Linked DNA regions of Caenorhabditis elegans. The protein of the gene in region 2 purifies or fractionates together with the protein of the main gene of each other region. This does not show direct contact. Each region holds a gene or a part of one and is shown on either strand. Other genes may lie near its edges.

Region 1 (3,836 bases), on a different chromosome or scaffold from region 2:
TCTCGGAGTACGCAACTTGCGTACCGGGCATCTCATTTGACGCACAGAATTCCTAGTTTATTGTTTTTGGATTTTCAAAATTTCAAACATAGTTTTTGCATTTTTCCTGTCGTTTTTGTGATTTTTATTTGTGAAAATTTATTAGACAGAAAAGAAATTTTCAGTTTTCACGAAATTTACTGGAAAATTTGTTATTTTACCGTTAGGTAACGTATTTTACAAAGATATTTCACTTTATCCGTATTTTCTTATTGTTTTCTTCACTTCAAACGATTGAAAACTGAATCAATCAAATAAATTTCCTATTTTTCAGGTAATTTGTCAAAATGACTGGCTCATCTCGTGGAATTGTCGAAATGACAAAGAAACTGGATCGATTAAATTGTTAGTGTTAAAATGAAATTTGCATCGGATTCAGTTTAAAATTTGCTTATTTTCAGATCGAAGAAAAGACCACTTACGCTTTTAAGCATGCCAGTTGATGTTATGGAGAAAGTTATGAAGAAAGTGGATCCATACGATTGGTATCAAATTTTGAATGTTAGGCAAATGTTAAAAAAAAACCAAATGAGTTTCAGGATTTCCGTCCGCAATTCCAATCGAAATCTTCGAGATTTCGTCGACAGCCAGCACCTCAAATTGGACATTGATGTTTCTATTGAGGGCACTTTTCACACCATTGATATCAATGGAAATCAATCCTTCGGACCTTTCCATCCGGTCGTGGCTGATGATGAAAGAAGAACCATCTACAATAAAAGACTACAGTTTGCTCTCAGAAAATTGTTCGTGGTTATGAAGCTTCCAAGTGCCCAAATTGAAGAGTTCAAACTGGATTTTGACTTTATGGGAAGAGGAAGTGACGAATTTGAAGATATCTACGATATTGGTTCCAGAAGAGTTAGTTTTAAAAATAAACTGTTGAGTGCAAGCCTGAGAACAATCGATAAGGAGTTTGGAGAGTTTCACTGTTTCCAAGCGAAATCAGTTTCTCTGAGTGGACTAAAGGAACCTCGAACTGTGCTCATTCTCAAATCTTTCAAGTCTGGAACTCTCGAGAACATTGAAATCATTAATTCCTACAAGTTCTACTTCAGTTGGCAGCTGACGCTTTCGGAGCAGTGGAAGAATGCGAAAAAACTGAAAACTGGACTTTCCACTGATCGCTACACCGGAATTCGAGTTGCTGAACTGTTCGCATTTTCAAATATCGAATTCACAACTGTAGTATTGTCATCTGATTTGAAAGTGGTATAGAAATTCTTAATTATTGATTAATTAATTTTAGATTTTTTTTCAGTTGGTTGATTCGTCTGCAAAGCTGGAAACTTGTCTCAGCAGGAACACGTATGACAGCGAGGATGACAGCGATGAAGATAGTGATGAAGACAGCGATGATGAGGACAATAGTGGAGTGTTAACGGTGTCAAAAGAAGTGCTCAAAGTGTTCGATCCGAACTTTGTTGGCTATAACGGAACAATCAATTACAAAGCAAATGGATTCGAATATCTCATTGAAGTCACTGAATTCGAAACTAAAATTGTGAAGAAAATCGAATAATCTTCTCATTTTTCAAAATTTGCTTTTGTTTTACTAGTCACATGAATTCTTATTTTGTTACTTTTTTTGTTTTGAAACTGATTAAACCAATAATTTGGGTTACGGCTGAATGTTACCTTCCGTTTAATATTTTGTAATCTTCCCAGTTTTTCTATATTTTAAAAGGAATTCTCGAATAGTTAACAAAGATCCTTTTCCAAACTACGGTAACTCTCAGAGTACGCAGTATGCGTACCGGGCATCTCATTTGACGCACAAAAATTCTAAATTTTTTTTTGAATTTTCAAATGTGGTTTATGCGTTTTTCTAACCAATTTTTTGTGATTTTTCCCCTGAAAATGATTTAAAATAAGTAAAATAACCTGTTTTTGTAAAAATTAATTTCGTTTTTACACATTGAACGTGATTTTCTATATTTACTCAAATTAATTTTTTTCAGGTAATTCGTCGACATGACTAGCCAAAGAGCAGAAATTGGTGAAACGACGGACAAGCAGAATTCCATGAAATTGTTAGTTATTTAGGCTACAATAATTTCAAATAACTTTTTTAAAACACATTTTCAGATCGAAGACAAGCTCGCCGACGCTTTTTGACTTGCCTCTGAATATTATGAAGAAAATTGTGAAGAAACTGCATCCATACGATTGGTAAGATCAAATAAATAAAAATTATATTTTTAGAAAGTATAATAAAAATATTTTCAGGATTTCCGTTCGCAATTCCAATGGAAATCTTCGAAGCTTCATCGACACCTTGAAACTGGATTTGGACATTGATATTTTTATTGAGGGCCATAGGTACACCATTGTTCTCAATGGAAAATCATTTCGTTATCGGTATAGATTTGTGCCTTATGATGAAATAAGCAACGCTCGCAATGAACCTTTCCATCCGGTCGTGGCTGATGATGAAAGAAGAACCATCTACAATAAAGGACTACAGTTTGCTCTCAGAAAATTGTTCAATGTCATGAAGCTTCCAAAAGCTCAGATTGAGAAGTTCAGTCTAGATTTCGACTCAATTGGAGGATATGAAGACTATGTCCACAATGAACGGTTGAGGTCAAGCCTGAGAACAATCGATATGGAGTTTGGAGATGCTCACTGTTTCCGAGCGAAATCAGTTTCTCTGAGTGGATTCAAGAAACCACGAGCTGCGCTAATTCTCAGTTCTTTCGATGCTGGAACACTTGTGAAATTTGAGATTATGCGTTGCATCTTCAACGATATTCGTCCACTAACTTGCTTGGAACAGTTTAAAAATGCAAAACAATTGCGAACTGATCTTAACATTTGCTCCGTCTTTGGATTTACTGTGTCGGATCTTCTTGGATTTTCAAGTATTGAATTCACCAGTCCAGAGGTATCGCCAAATGATCTGAAAGAGGTATAGCAATAATCAATTTTTAGTTGATTTAATTAAAATTCTTTCAGTTGGTAAATTCGTCTACAAAGCTGGAAACTTGTGTCGTCAGCAAGCAATTAGATGATAGTGAATCAATTGCAGAAGAAATGCTCCAAGAGTTTGATCCTACCTTCGCTGGCAAAACCGGAACCATCAATTACAAGGCAAATGGATTTGAATATGTCATTGAAGTCACTGAAGAGCGAGTGAAAATTGAGAAGAAACTCGGCTGATTATTTAATTTTAATTTTTGTTTTTTGGTTTTTCAAAAATTGTTGTTTAATTTATTGTTGTTCATCTCGTTCTCATGAATTTGCTTTTGTCATTTTTCTTTGATCAACACTGGAAGGCTAATAGACTACAAACTAGACATTTTATAAGCCTAAGCCAAGAAAGTACATTGAAAAAACGTCGCTTCCGGTAAAGAAAATAAATCAACCGAAAGCGAAACTTGACTTTTTTTTGAAAATTATTTATGGAAAGTTCATGTTTTTAGTCGTTTTAGTGAAAAAATTTAAAAAAAAAAATTAAAAAAAAAAAAAAAATCAAGTGCTTAAATAAATTATATATTTTTGAAAAGAAAAATGAATTTATTCCTGCTCTAAGCTACAAATTTGTCATATTTTGAACCTTTCTTCTAGAAATTTTAGCTGAAAGTGAAGAATATACTAGCAAAAATTGTAAATTAATTTTTTAAAAACGTTTTTAGAAATTTTAAATTTTTTCACAAAAAAAAAATTTCCCAAAGTGTTTTTTCAAAATTCAAATTTTAATTTTATTACAAGCCCAAAACGTGTAACGAGTTCTATAACAATGATCTGGACCGCAAAATATGTCATTTTTGCAGCTATTTACACATCCCTTCGAT
Region 2 (4,609 bases):
ATATTTTTTGAATCGAAATACGTTAGTTATTCATTGAACAACCATATACAAAAAAGGTCAGCTTTCCGAGGTTGATAGTTGTTGTAGTTTGTAGTCTGTGAGATCACACCTTTGCTGTGAAAACTTACATAGAAAATTTCAATTTATATAAATTATGGACGGAAAATCTATAAACGTGTTTTTTAAATTTTCATTGAAAATTTAATTTTAAAATTTTCAAAAATTTTGGCTAAAAACCGAAAAAATTATACCATTACAATATTTATAATATACAGCAAAACTATTTTTTTAAATTTCAATTTTGGCGCAAAACCCCAATTTCACAATTTTCAACATTTTTTCTTGAAAATATAAACGTTTCCCGGAGGATATTAAGAAAAATTGGCATTATTGATTTTGATGGTATCCAAATTTCAAATAATTTAATTTTAGACTCCGCCCATTTCTTGGTTTTTGTTCTCCATTTGTTTTTTATCAGATTTTCAGATTTTTTGAAAATTTTTGAAATAACCTTTTTTCCGAATTTTTGAGAAAAAATTTCTCAAAAATTCGAAATTTAGTTCCTTTTTCATAAATTTTCCTCAAAACTAGAAATTTTTTAAATTATCACTCCGATCAAAATATTCTTTCTTCTGCATAGTCATTTCCCTAAGTGATACGTCCAAACAAGAATTTTATGCATAATTTCTTATCGTTGAATTCCTGCTGCAAAATGATAAAATTTGATGATTGAATTCTAATGTATGTGTTTTGAGTTTGTGGCATTAATTTCTACTTTTCAAAAACTTCAGCTGGGAGATATTCTTATTGGCAGAGTTTTTTATTTAAAAATGTTTTGGAATTTGTTTTTTTCCAACATAAGAGAAACATATAAAATTCAATTAAATGTCAAAATATAGGCTCAATTTTTTTTTAAATTTTCCAATATATTTTTCCATTTTCAAGGGAAACTAATTTTTTGAAAATTTTGGCTGGAAATTCAAAATTATATTCATTTTTTCATTTTTTTTCAATTTTTAAACCCAAATATTTATTTAATTTATGATAAATAACGTCCCGAGTTATTCAGAAATAAATAATATTTACCTAAAATTTGAGGAAAAAGTCAACAAAAAACAGTATCAAATGCTATCAGTTGTAAAAATTCTCAAAATATTCAAAATTGAGTTGACTCGATATCAAAAAAGATATCAAAAATGAATACCTAACAATAATATTTGTAAGTTTTATTACTTTTTTGGACAACAAAATTATAGAAAAATTAAAAAAAAATTTTTATGAACATTTTTTTCCAGAATTTTTTTTCTCAAAAATATGTGTTTTGCAACTTTTCAAAAATTTAGCAATTACTCAAGATTGATAGAATAAGCTATTTTAACATAAAAACTACTTCCTGTAACCCATTAATTTTCCTCAACGAGAGTTAATAACACCTCCCCCCCTTCAAAAAAAAATTCGGAAACAATACTATTATGTCGATCAACTGGTAATCCATCCCCTTTCACCGAACATCAAACAAGTTTCATTCTCTGCGTCTCTCACCTCTCTCTCTCACTTTTTGATAAGTTCTATTCCCTTTCTGTCAACTAGTAATAAGCCTTCCCCTCACACCCAAACCCGAATATCACTTGAATTTCTATACTATGATATTATACTACGTGTCTACGTCCAATTAGACTGATAATGTTTGATTTTTGACGTTTTTTTCGAAAATCGCATGCTTATTATGAATAATATTGAGGTTTGATTTTGTTCTTTTTGGGAAAAGTGGTTAGAAGTGGGGTTACTTGACTTTTCAAGTTTTTTTTTTTAGAAATCAAAGTTTTGAACAAAGAAACCACTTTTCTTCTTTGGCGCCTAACTAGTTGTGGGATTTTATTTGAACGGCACCATCCAGAATTTCCTGTACTAGTTAGTTTTGAAATGTTTGAATAAAGTTGATTTTTTGGAAAATTGAAAATTTTCGAATTTTCAAAATTTTCTGGAATTTTTTTTTGCTTCAAAGTTGCGAATACCTAATTGAATTTAAGTTTTCCGCCATTTTTTGAAAAATTAGAATTTTGCACTTACACCACGATTTTCTAAGTTTAAAAAAATACGAAATGTTTTTGGAAATTTTTAATATGAAATTTGCGCCAAAAACTTTTTTAAGAATTAAAAATAAAATTTGAACTTTACAGGTAAACTTGATCAAATTTTTCGAATCTGAGTTTTTGCCAAAACATTTTTAGAATGAAATTTTAATTTCCCCCTTTTTTTCAATTATTTTTTGTTGAAAATTTAAATCTTAAACTCCAAATTTTTTCACCAAATTTTTTGAAAAATTCAAAAAATTTGAATAAACTGTAACTGAATTTTTCCTGCTAAAATTTCTAGCAAATTTGAATTTACAGCCAAATTAATATTAAATAGAAATTTAACTTCGAACTCACTGAAAAAATTTTTTTTTAATATTAAAATTTGAATTATTTACCATTTTTGAATATAAATTTTTCAAAAAAATTATAGATTCATTCGAAAATTCCACAAATTCCAAAAATATTGTTTGCTCAAAAACTTCCCTTAACTTACAAGCACACAACATTTCCTGTTTATCAGTTCTTCCGCTTTCTTCATAATTTTATCTTACTTCTACAATTTCAGCATTATATTTGCAGAAGTCAACAAGCGTCGTTGATGATTCAGAGTTAGAGGACTCAGAAAAAAGTGAGTTTTTTTTTTAAATAACAGTTTTATTTTTTTAAAAATTTTACGTAAAAAATACCATAAAAATTGCTTACATAGAGCCCTCCCATTTCTTGGCTCTGCAAGCTGAAATATCATAAAAAATAAAAAAAATAAGATACTGTATATTATAAATATTGTAATGGTATTTGTTCCCAAATTGCATACAAAATATGTATTTTATTATATTCTTCAATCTCATACGCGACATATAACGAAAATCTATGGGATTACCCCAAATAAAATTCTAAGACACAAAAATGTCCCTAATCTTAATCCCCAAACCTCTGACACCTAGGCTGCGGAATTCCCGATGAGAAAATTTTTTATTTAAATATTTTTCCCTTTTGTGAAGGAAAATTATACTTTTAATCGGGTTTTAAGTTGGAAAGTATATCAAAAAATGATAAGAACATTTGAAATTATACTTTTTTGGTTCATTCTAATGATCGCAAAAATTTTTGAGTTGATCCTATCGATGCACCATTTTTTGTAGCTATACTTTGGCTCATATCTCTGTTAATTTTACAGGTTAGAAAACATTTTTTCTGTTGACTTGTAGAAAAATAGTTAACAAGTATTTGGTCAGTTGACGATTTTTTGATGAAACCAATAAGAACTGAGATATGATCTTCCAAAGTTAAGACCATACCGGAACCTGGGTTTTATAGAGGCAATAGAGGCAATAAACATTCCATTAGCTTCAAAACTAATTTTTCAAAAATTCAAAAGTTTCGGGAAGATTCCACCTACCACAACAAAAAAATCACATTATTTTCTTCCTCTTTCTCTCCCCCCCCCCCCCCCCCCGAGACTAGTACAGATTATCGACGATTCAATTCAATAACCACACCAACTTTTTTTTTATTTTTTTTTTTTATGCAGGGTGTGGGCAGGCTTATCAGAGCACTCACCTTTTAGCGCTGACCTTTTTTTTCGTATCGGTTTTGATTCAGAACTTTCTGAATTTTATGTTTTAAGTTTGATGTTTGCTTTTTTGTTGCTTAATCAAATAAATTTGAATGCACAGTGTTGACATTTTCCTCGCCAAAAAAAATAATAAAAAAGTGGTCCTATCTGAAAATTTGCATAACTTTTGAACCCTGTATATTCCCTAAAAGAAAAACCTTTCAAAAAAAATTGGTGAAATTTCAAAATAACAAAAACATTTTTCATAGAGATATTGCTGAATTTGGTAAACTTTTCAACCAGCTGTAAATAACATTATCTTGAAAACATTTCACAAGTTTTAACAAAAATTCGATTGAAAAATTTGAAAAATATTGTAAATTTTTTCACTATTATTTACGTGACTTTTAGATAATTATATAAATATTTATTTTTTAACCGAAAAAAACTTTTTTTACACGTACATATCCCAGCTCAATTTTTTATACAATAATTTTATTTCCAAAACGCGAGAGTTTGAGAAAAAGTGGGTTTTTTCTTTAATTATCAGTGGGAGTTTCAAATTTTGAGCCTTTAAAATAATTAAAACTGCTCTCGAACTTTGATTCCTCATAATTTTTCTTCTCACCAATAAAAAAATAATATTGTTATCTTATATGATGCTGAACAGAGGGGGTGTCTAGGGAGACGAAGCATAGACAAACGGAATTTGAGTTGAAGCTTATAAGAGATACCCTATTGGTTTCCATTTATTCATTATTATCTGTTTTTTACTTTTTAGGAAAGACTTTTTTTAATCTGAAAAATCTCTAAATTTTAAGTTTTAATATATTTTCAGTTTTGAAATCAAAATCTCTAGAAAAAAGTTGTTCTTCATTTTGTTTTTTTTTTGTATTGATAGCTTCAAAGCTAACCAAGATATTGCTTTCCAAAGTTTAGAAGCAAATCATGGTGCATCGACAAGAAAGCATTCTCT
Region 3 (5,647 bases), on a different chromosome or scaffold from region 2:
TTGATTAGTTTACTGTTTTTAAATACTTGGCCTAGAAAAGCCCAATTCGGCCAACGATTTATCTAAAATTAATTTATAAATTCTTTACCCCAACTTTTTCTGAAACTTTCCGAAAATTGCTCAATTAATGTATAAACTTTTTTTAAAAATAAATGCAGATATTACCCACACGCAAAGCTTTGCGATTGTTGCACGGTCTCAGCACGCGCGTGTGCCTTCAAGGAGTACTGTAGCTTCGAAGTTTTGCTGCTGCACAGAGGTTTCATCGATTTTTCATAATTTTTTTTTGAAAATCTATTTGTTTGTTATAAAAAAAGGAAATACTCAACAAATCTATGAAAAATCGATAAAAATTCCACAGCAACGAAAGTTCGAAAATACAGTACTCTTTAAAGGCGCACACCTTTTCGCATTTAGCAAAAAATTCTCGTTTCGAGACCAGGACACCGTACTTTTCGCGCAAAAATCGCGAAAGTTGCTGTACAATTTTTTTGTTATTATTAACACCCTCATCTTGTAAAAATTCCAACTAAGGTATAAATTCTGTAAACGCAATTTTTATTATTATATTAAATTCAACAAGCAAAAAATCACTAATTTAACAAATTCACCGGCGTTCAACATTTTTCATCAATACTCGTCTAAAACAGCCAAATAATCATTAAAAGTACAAAAGAGCACCGAATTCGCGGACATTTTTGTTGCTCCATACAGAAGATTCGATCCAACATCCCGATTCTCGTGGACAATATCGAGAGTGTCCGAATTCAGAATACTGTAGCCACCGTACATGCAGGAAGTACAGTACTCTGAGCCAACTTGTTCAATGTTCCAAACTCCACCAGAGAGCTGTAATTGGAAAATAATTTAAATTTCTCGTTAAATTTAGGGGAAATTTTCAAAATAACCAATAAATTGTTAGGTCTATAAACGCGAAGGACGGTAAAATAAAGTCGATTCGCACCTGAAAGGCCTGGATTTTTTATTTTGAATACGTAGAATCTGGTGACACGTGGCGATATGAGATCCTGCACGTGGCACAGATAGTGTTCAATTTTTCGAAATTCTGAGGTTGCGTATTTCGCAACATATTTGACGCGCGAATATCTCGTAGCGCTGGTGTCGATTTACGAGAAAATCGAGCCCGTAAATCGACACAAGAGCTACAGTAGTTTTTTTACGAGATATTTTGCGCGTCAAATATGTTGTGCAACACGCACTCTCAGAATATTATGCTCCCATAATATATCATACCTTTTTCTCTTTGAGCACAGTTTTTAAATTCCTTCGATCGAAAATCCGGACGTGCTCGTCATAGCTTCCAGTTAGAATTTGATCTTCGTTCGAAGCCGGGAAATCAACAAAAACAACACCGGCTTCGAAAATTTTTGATTGACCGGTTTGAGTTCGGCTGCGAGCATCCCAGAGTCTGAAAATTTGAAGATTTAAAACCCCTCTGTTTGAATTTTGAATTCCCTCCAAAATGAGAACTGCAGGACCAATCAGCGATTTGCTCCGCCCACCCCTTCTGATTGGTTTGCAGTTCTCATTTTGGAGGGAATTCAAATAGAAAATTGGTTTTTCCTTCAAACCTACTTCATTGATCCGTCCTCTCCGCCAGTTACAACTGTCTGAGCATCTTTGCTGATCGCACAAGACCATACTTCACATCCTTCACCAGGAACGTACGGAAGCGAATGAGCAAGCCACGTGGAAACGATGAGTGATGTGTTCAGGTCGACGATGTACGCGTGGCCCTGAAATGAACTGATTTCAAAAAATAGAGAAAAAAACGTTTAAATGGGCAAGCGCGCTCCACAGCGAAATGAGAACGCTCCGCCTCTGGGTCTCGTTAGGTATTGGCGCCAAAAAAAAACAACAAAAATACATATTTTCTGACACAAAATTGATGTAAAATTCAGTTTTTAATGTGATTTTTCGAAATTAAGGTTTTGCCGCCATTACCTATTGGGACCCAATTCTTGGCAGTAGAGCGCACTTGCGCGTTGTTCTGCGTCTCTGGAGCTCCACGTGGTGTCAGAGTGTCTCATTTTGACTTGATATACGGAGATCTACAAAAAATGCGGGTTCTCAACTGATTTCGCGTAGTTAAGAACGTGCTGACGTCATTTTTTTTTTGGATAAAATTCCCGCATTTTTTGTAGATCAAACCGTCATGGGACAGCGTGGCACCACTTGGCTTGATAATAACGCCTACAGAGCAGTTCTGAGAACTTGCTGCGGCCTCACAAGTGACACCCCAGCACACCATATCTACGAGGAAGCGACCAGATTGCCCCTGAGAGAAGAAATTGAGCTTAGAAGACAACAATTCCAGATTTCGTCAATAAATACGCCAGGACATCCATCCAAAGACTTAAAGCTCAGAAGGCCGACGGAAAGAGCGTCAAATAGGCCAAGGGAGCCTCCGTTAGATTACCCTAGCAACACCACGAGCAACTGGCAAATTCCTCAAATGACCACCAAGGCCATCCAGAAAGCAAACCATAGGAAATTCGTGCAGGAATTTCTGAACAAGAAACCGGTGAACAACGTGCTGGGCACCCCTGCCCCAGCGGTGGCCGAGGAAGAGAAATCACTACCAAGGGTGAAGCAGAGTGGAGCTAGCAAGGCTGAGATGTGGACATTCCACGATGGTACCCGGCTACTTCGCGATACCGACCTGTGGGAAATGTGGCGATCAAAGAGGAAATGTGGCACACTTGTTGGGATGCTCAACCCAACCCCCGCTAACGCCATCAAAATTGTGGTCGGATCCGAAAACGGTGGCTGAGGCCCTGGGCCTCCCCACCAAAATATTCGACCCTCCGCACCTGCAGTGGTCTCACCAGTGATTCTCCGACTCAGCACATCTATGAGGAAACGGAGAGGCTTCCTCTTCGCGAGGAAATTGAGCTCCGCAAGCAGCAATTTGCAATTGCAGCACTGAACACCCCTGGCCACCCATCCAAAGACCTAAAGGCAAGAAGACCCCTTGAGAGGACGACCAACAGGCCCAGAGAGCCGCCGTTAGACTATCCGAGCAGCACCACCAATGCCTGGACAAATCCCCGCTCAACGACCAAGGCCATTCAGAAGTCCAACCACCGAACCTTCATCAAAAACTTCCTAAACAGCAAGAAGCCGAACAACGTACTTGGACGCCCTGCCCCCGCCATAAATGGTGAGGAAAGCTCCTTGCCGCGAGGAACAAGAGTGGAGCTAGCCAGAATCAGATGCGGTCACTCAACCATGGTCCCAAGCTATTTCGCGAGAATCAACAACGACACGGTGCCAGCCTGCAAGAAGTGTGGCGATGTCACAGGGAATGTGGAACACATGCTGAGATGTTCTATCCAACCCCCGCTCACTCCGAAAAAGGTGGCAGAGGCACTGGGCCTCCCCACCAGAACTTTCGATCCAGGCGGATCTCAATGATCCAAGGACCTCCACGGATCCATCGCGGTGCTTTGCACCACTACTACTACTACTACCCTGGAGGAACTCACTGAGGCATGGACGCCCATGGCGCCCTTCTGGTGGTGCTTTGCACCACTACTACTATAATACCGGCGAGATCACAGTACTTTGTTGTCAGTTGTAATAGTGAGGGAAGAATCCGAAAGTCCCAAATCCAAAAGCATATCCGACGATACAGGTGTAGTTTCGGATGATACAGGTTCTGAAAATCGTCCTGCTCATTTGAAATCTCAGGCACAATTCAAACCTTCAATTTTCTGAACCACTAGTGATCCATCGGTTAGCGCTGCAACTATCGTCGACGGATTTCGGAAATCGAATCGAAACACTCCAGCAGAAGTGCTAATCTCATTTTCCAACTGTAGCCCGTCGGCTTCATCAATCTTCAAAATGCACAGTGAGCCGGATCGAGTGTCTGAAGATGTATCGAGAAGATACGTGGATACGCAAGCACGTGATGTGTCCTCTGATGGTATCCGACGAGCAAATGCTGGGCGATTTGACAGCTTCACACTTTTTGATCGCATTTAAATGAGCTCAAAAAATTTGTAATTTTGAAAATTTACTAAAAATGCGGTTTTCAAACGTAAAATGTTTCAATTTTTCGTCAAAAATACGGTGTCCGGTCTCGACACGAAACAATTTGTTGTTAAATGCGAAAAGGTGTGCGCTTTTAAAGAGTACTGTAATTCCAAAATTTTTCGTGATGTGGAATTTTCATCGAATTTTCAGTTTTTTAGAAATAAAGTATTATTTTAACGAATAACGTTAAGAAATCGATAAAAATTTTACAAAAACCAAAGTTTGAAATTACAGTACTCTTTAAAGGCGCACACTAGTTTGTATTTAACCAAAAAATTGTCGTGTCGAGACCAAATACCGCCGTTTTGGCTCCAAAACCGCCAAATTTCGAGTCTATACATTGGTGAACTATTGAGATTGGAATAAGACACATATTCATGGAAAAAATATTGGGAATAATTTAAAACCCATGAGGATCGTGATGGAAATTATAGCAAAAAAATTAAAGTTTCCAGTTTGCAGGAATGGTAAAAATAAATACAATTTGAAATACATATATAAAAAAGCAAGATTAATTCTTCGAGGCGGCCTCCGATGATGTCTCTTCAGGCTTCGGAGTCTCTGATTTCTGCGCAACTCTTTGTGCTTCGATCGCAGCGTCTGCCTTTTTTTTGTCTGTTTCGGCCTCTTGTTGACACGCTCTGCAAATGATTTTTTTTCTCTCAATTGATTTCTCGATTATGACGATCAAATATTTGATCGACACTTATAATTCGAGTGGAAAATCGACGAAAAAACTCAAAAACCTACCTAATCAGAACTTTTGCCGCTTGAATATTCCTCTTCAACCGTTCACAGGTCAACTTATTGAATGTATATGTTGGACGAACGTCTTTCCCGATTTCTTCGATCAACTTGAGCAGAACTTCGTAATAAGGAGTGCCTTCTTGCATCTGAAATCATTATTTTTTCAATTAAAATTGTATATTTAGATTTTTTTTTAAATATTTTACCTGAAGATTCGGCACAATTGAGATAAGCGTTTGAAGATCTTCTTGTGTCGCCATTTTTCTAAAACAAAATAGGTTGAATGAATTACTGCGAGAAATCAATAAAAATACAGAGAACGGGAACACCACCGTTCTCTGCGTCTCTTTTCAAAACACGTTTCAATGGAGCACATTTGCTTTAGGATTTTGGCGGTTATTTTTACGATATTTTTTTTTGAGAAATCGAAAAACCAAACAATTTTGTTTTGTCGAAATTTTGAAAAAAAAAAGGATTTTTGGAAAAATATAATTTTCCTCTTTTTAGAGAAAAACTATCTGTTTCTTATGATTTGTTCTCATTAACATAAATAAAATTTGATAAAAAATAGTTTTTTTTGTTAATTTTCTAAACATTTTTCCAATTTTTCGGTTTTCCCGGTCTCGCCACGGCAAATATTGGTTAAATGCGGAAAAGGTGTGCGCCTTTAAAGAGTACTGTAATTTCAAACTTTTGTTGAAACGTACGGAATTTCATGATTTGCAGCAACACAAGTTTGAAACTACAGTACTCTTTAAAGGTGCACGCCCGTTTGTATTTAACAAAATATTGTCGTTGTGAGACCGGGTACCGTATTTTTAGTGTGAAAATTGCAAAA

What was found. The genes of interacting proteins can lie anywhere in the genome.
Region 1: the proteins of glct-6 (region 2) and fbxa-101 fractionate together in Caenorhabditis elegans (co-fractionation; one large-scale study listed by BioGRID). This does not show direct contact.
Region 3: the proteins of glct-6 (region 2) and dph-7 fractionate together in Caenorhabditis elegans (co-fractionation; one large-scale study listed by BioGRID). This does not show direct contact.

The regions. Positions count from the first base shown.
Region 1 is NC_003279.8:12,958,097-12,961,932, reverse strand, and holds fbxa-101 (DUF38 domain-containing protein), read left to right. Parts: upstream 1-2,000; 5' UTR 2,001-2,013; coding exon 2,014-2,072; intron 2,073-2,127; coding exon 2,128-2,211; intron 2,212-2,268; coding exon 2,269-2,950; intron 2,951-2,997; coding exon 2,998-3,201; 3' UTR 3,202-3,293; downstream 3,294-3,836. Other genes in the region: fbxa-140 (F-box domain-containing protein), read left to right, coding at 472-524, 579-1,251, 1,301-1,561.
Region 2 is NC_003282.8:3,782,641-3,787,249, forward strand, and holds the start of glct-6 (Galactosylgalactosylxylosylprotein 3-beta-glucuronosyltransferase), read left to right. Parts: upstream 1-1,569; 5' UTR 1,570-1,717; coding exon 1,718-1,741; intron 1,742-2,657; coding exon 2,658-2,706; intron 2,707-4,609.
Region 3 is NC_003281.10:13,313,494-13,319,140, reverse strand, and holds dph-7 (methylated diphthine methylhydrolase), read right to left. Parts: upstream 4,017-5,647; 5' UTR 4,008-4,016; coding exon 3,728-4,007; intron 3,683-3,727; coding exon 3,588-3,682; intron 1,758-3,587; coding exon 1,597-1,757; intron 1,430-1,596; coding exon 1,255-1,429; intron 850-1,254; coding exon 631-849; 3' UTR 544-630; downstream 1-543. Other genes in the region: Y43F4B.10 (uncharacterized protein), read right to left, coding at 4,574-4,703, 4,813-4,955, 5,016-5,069.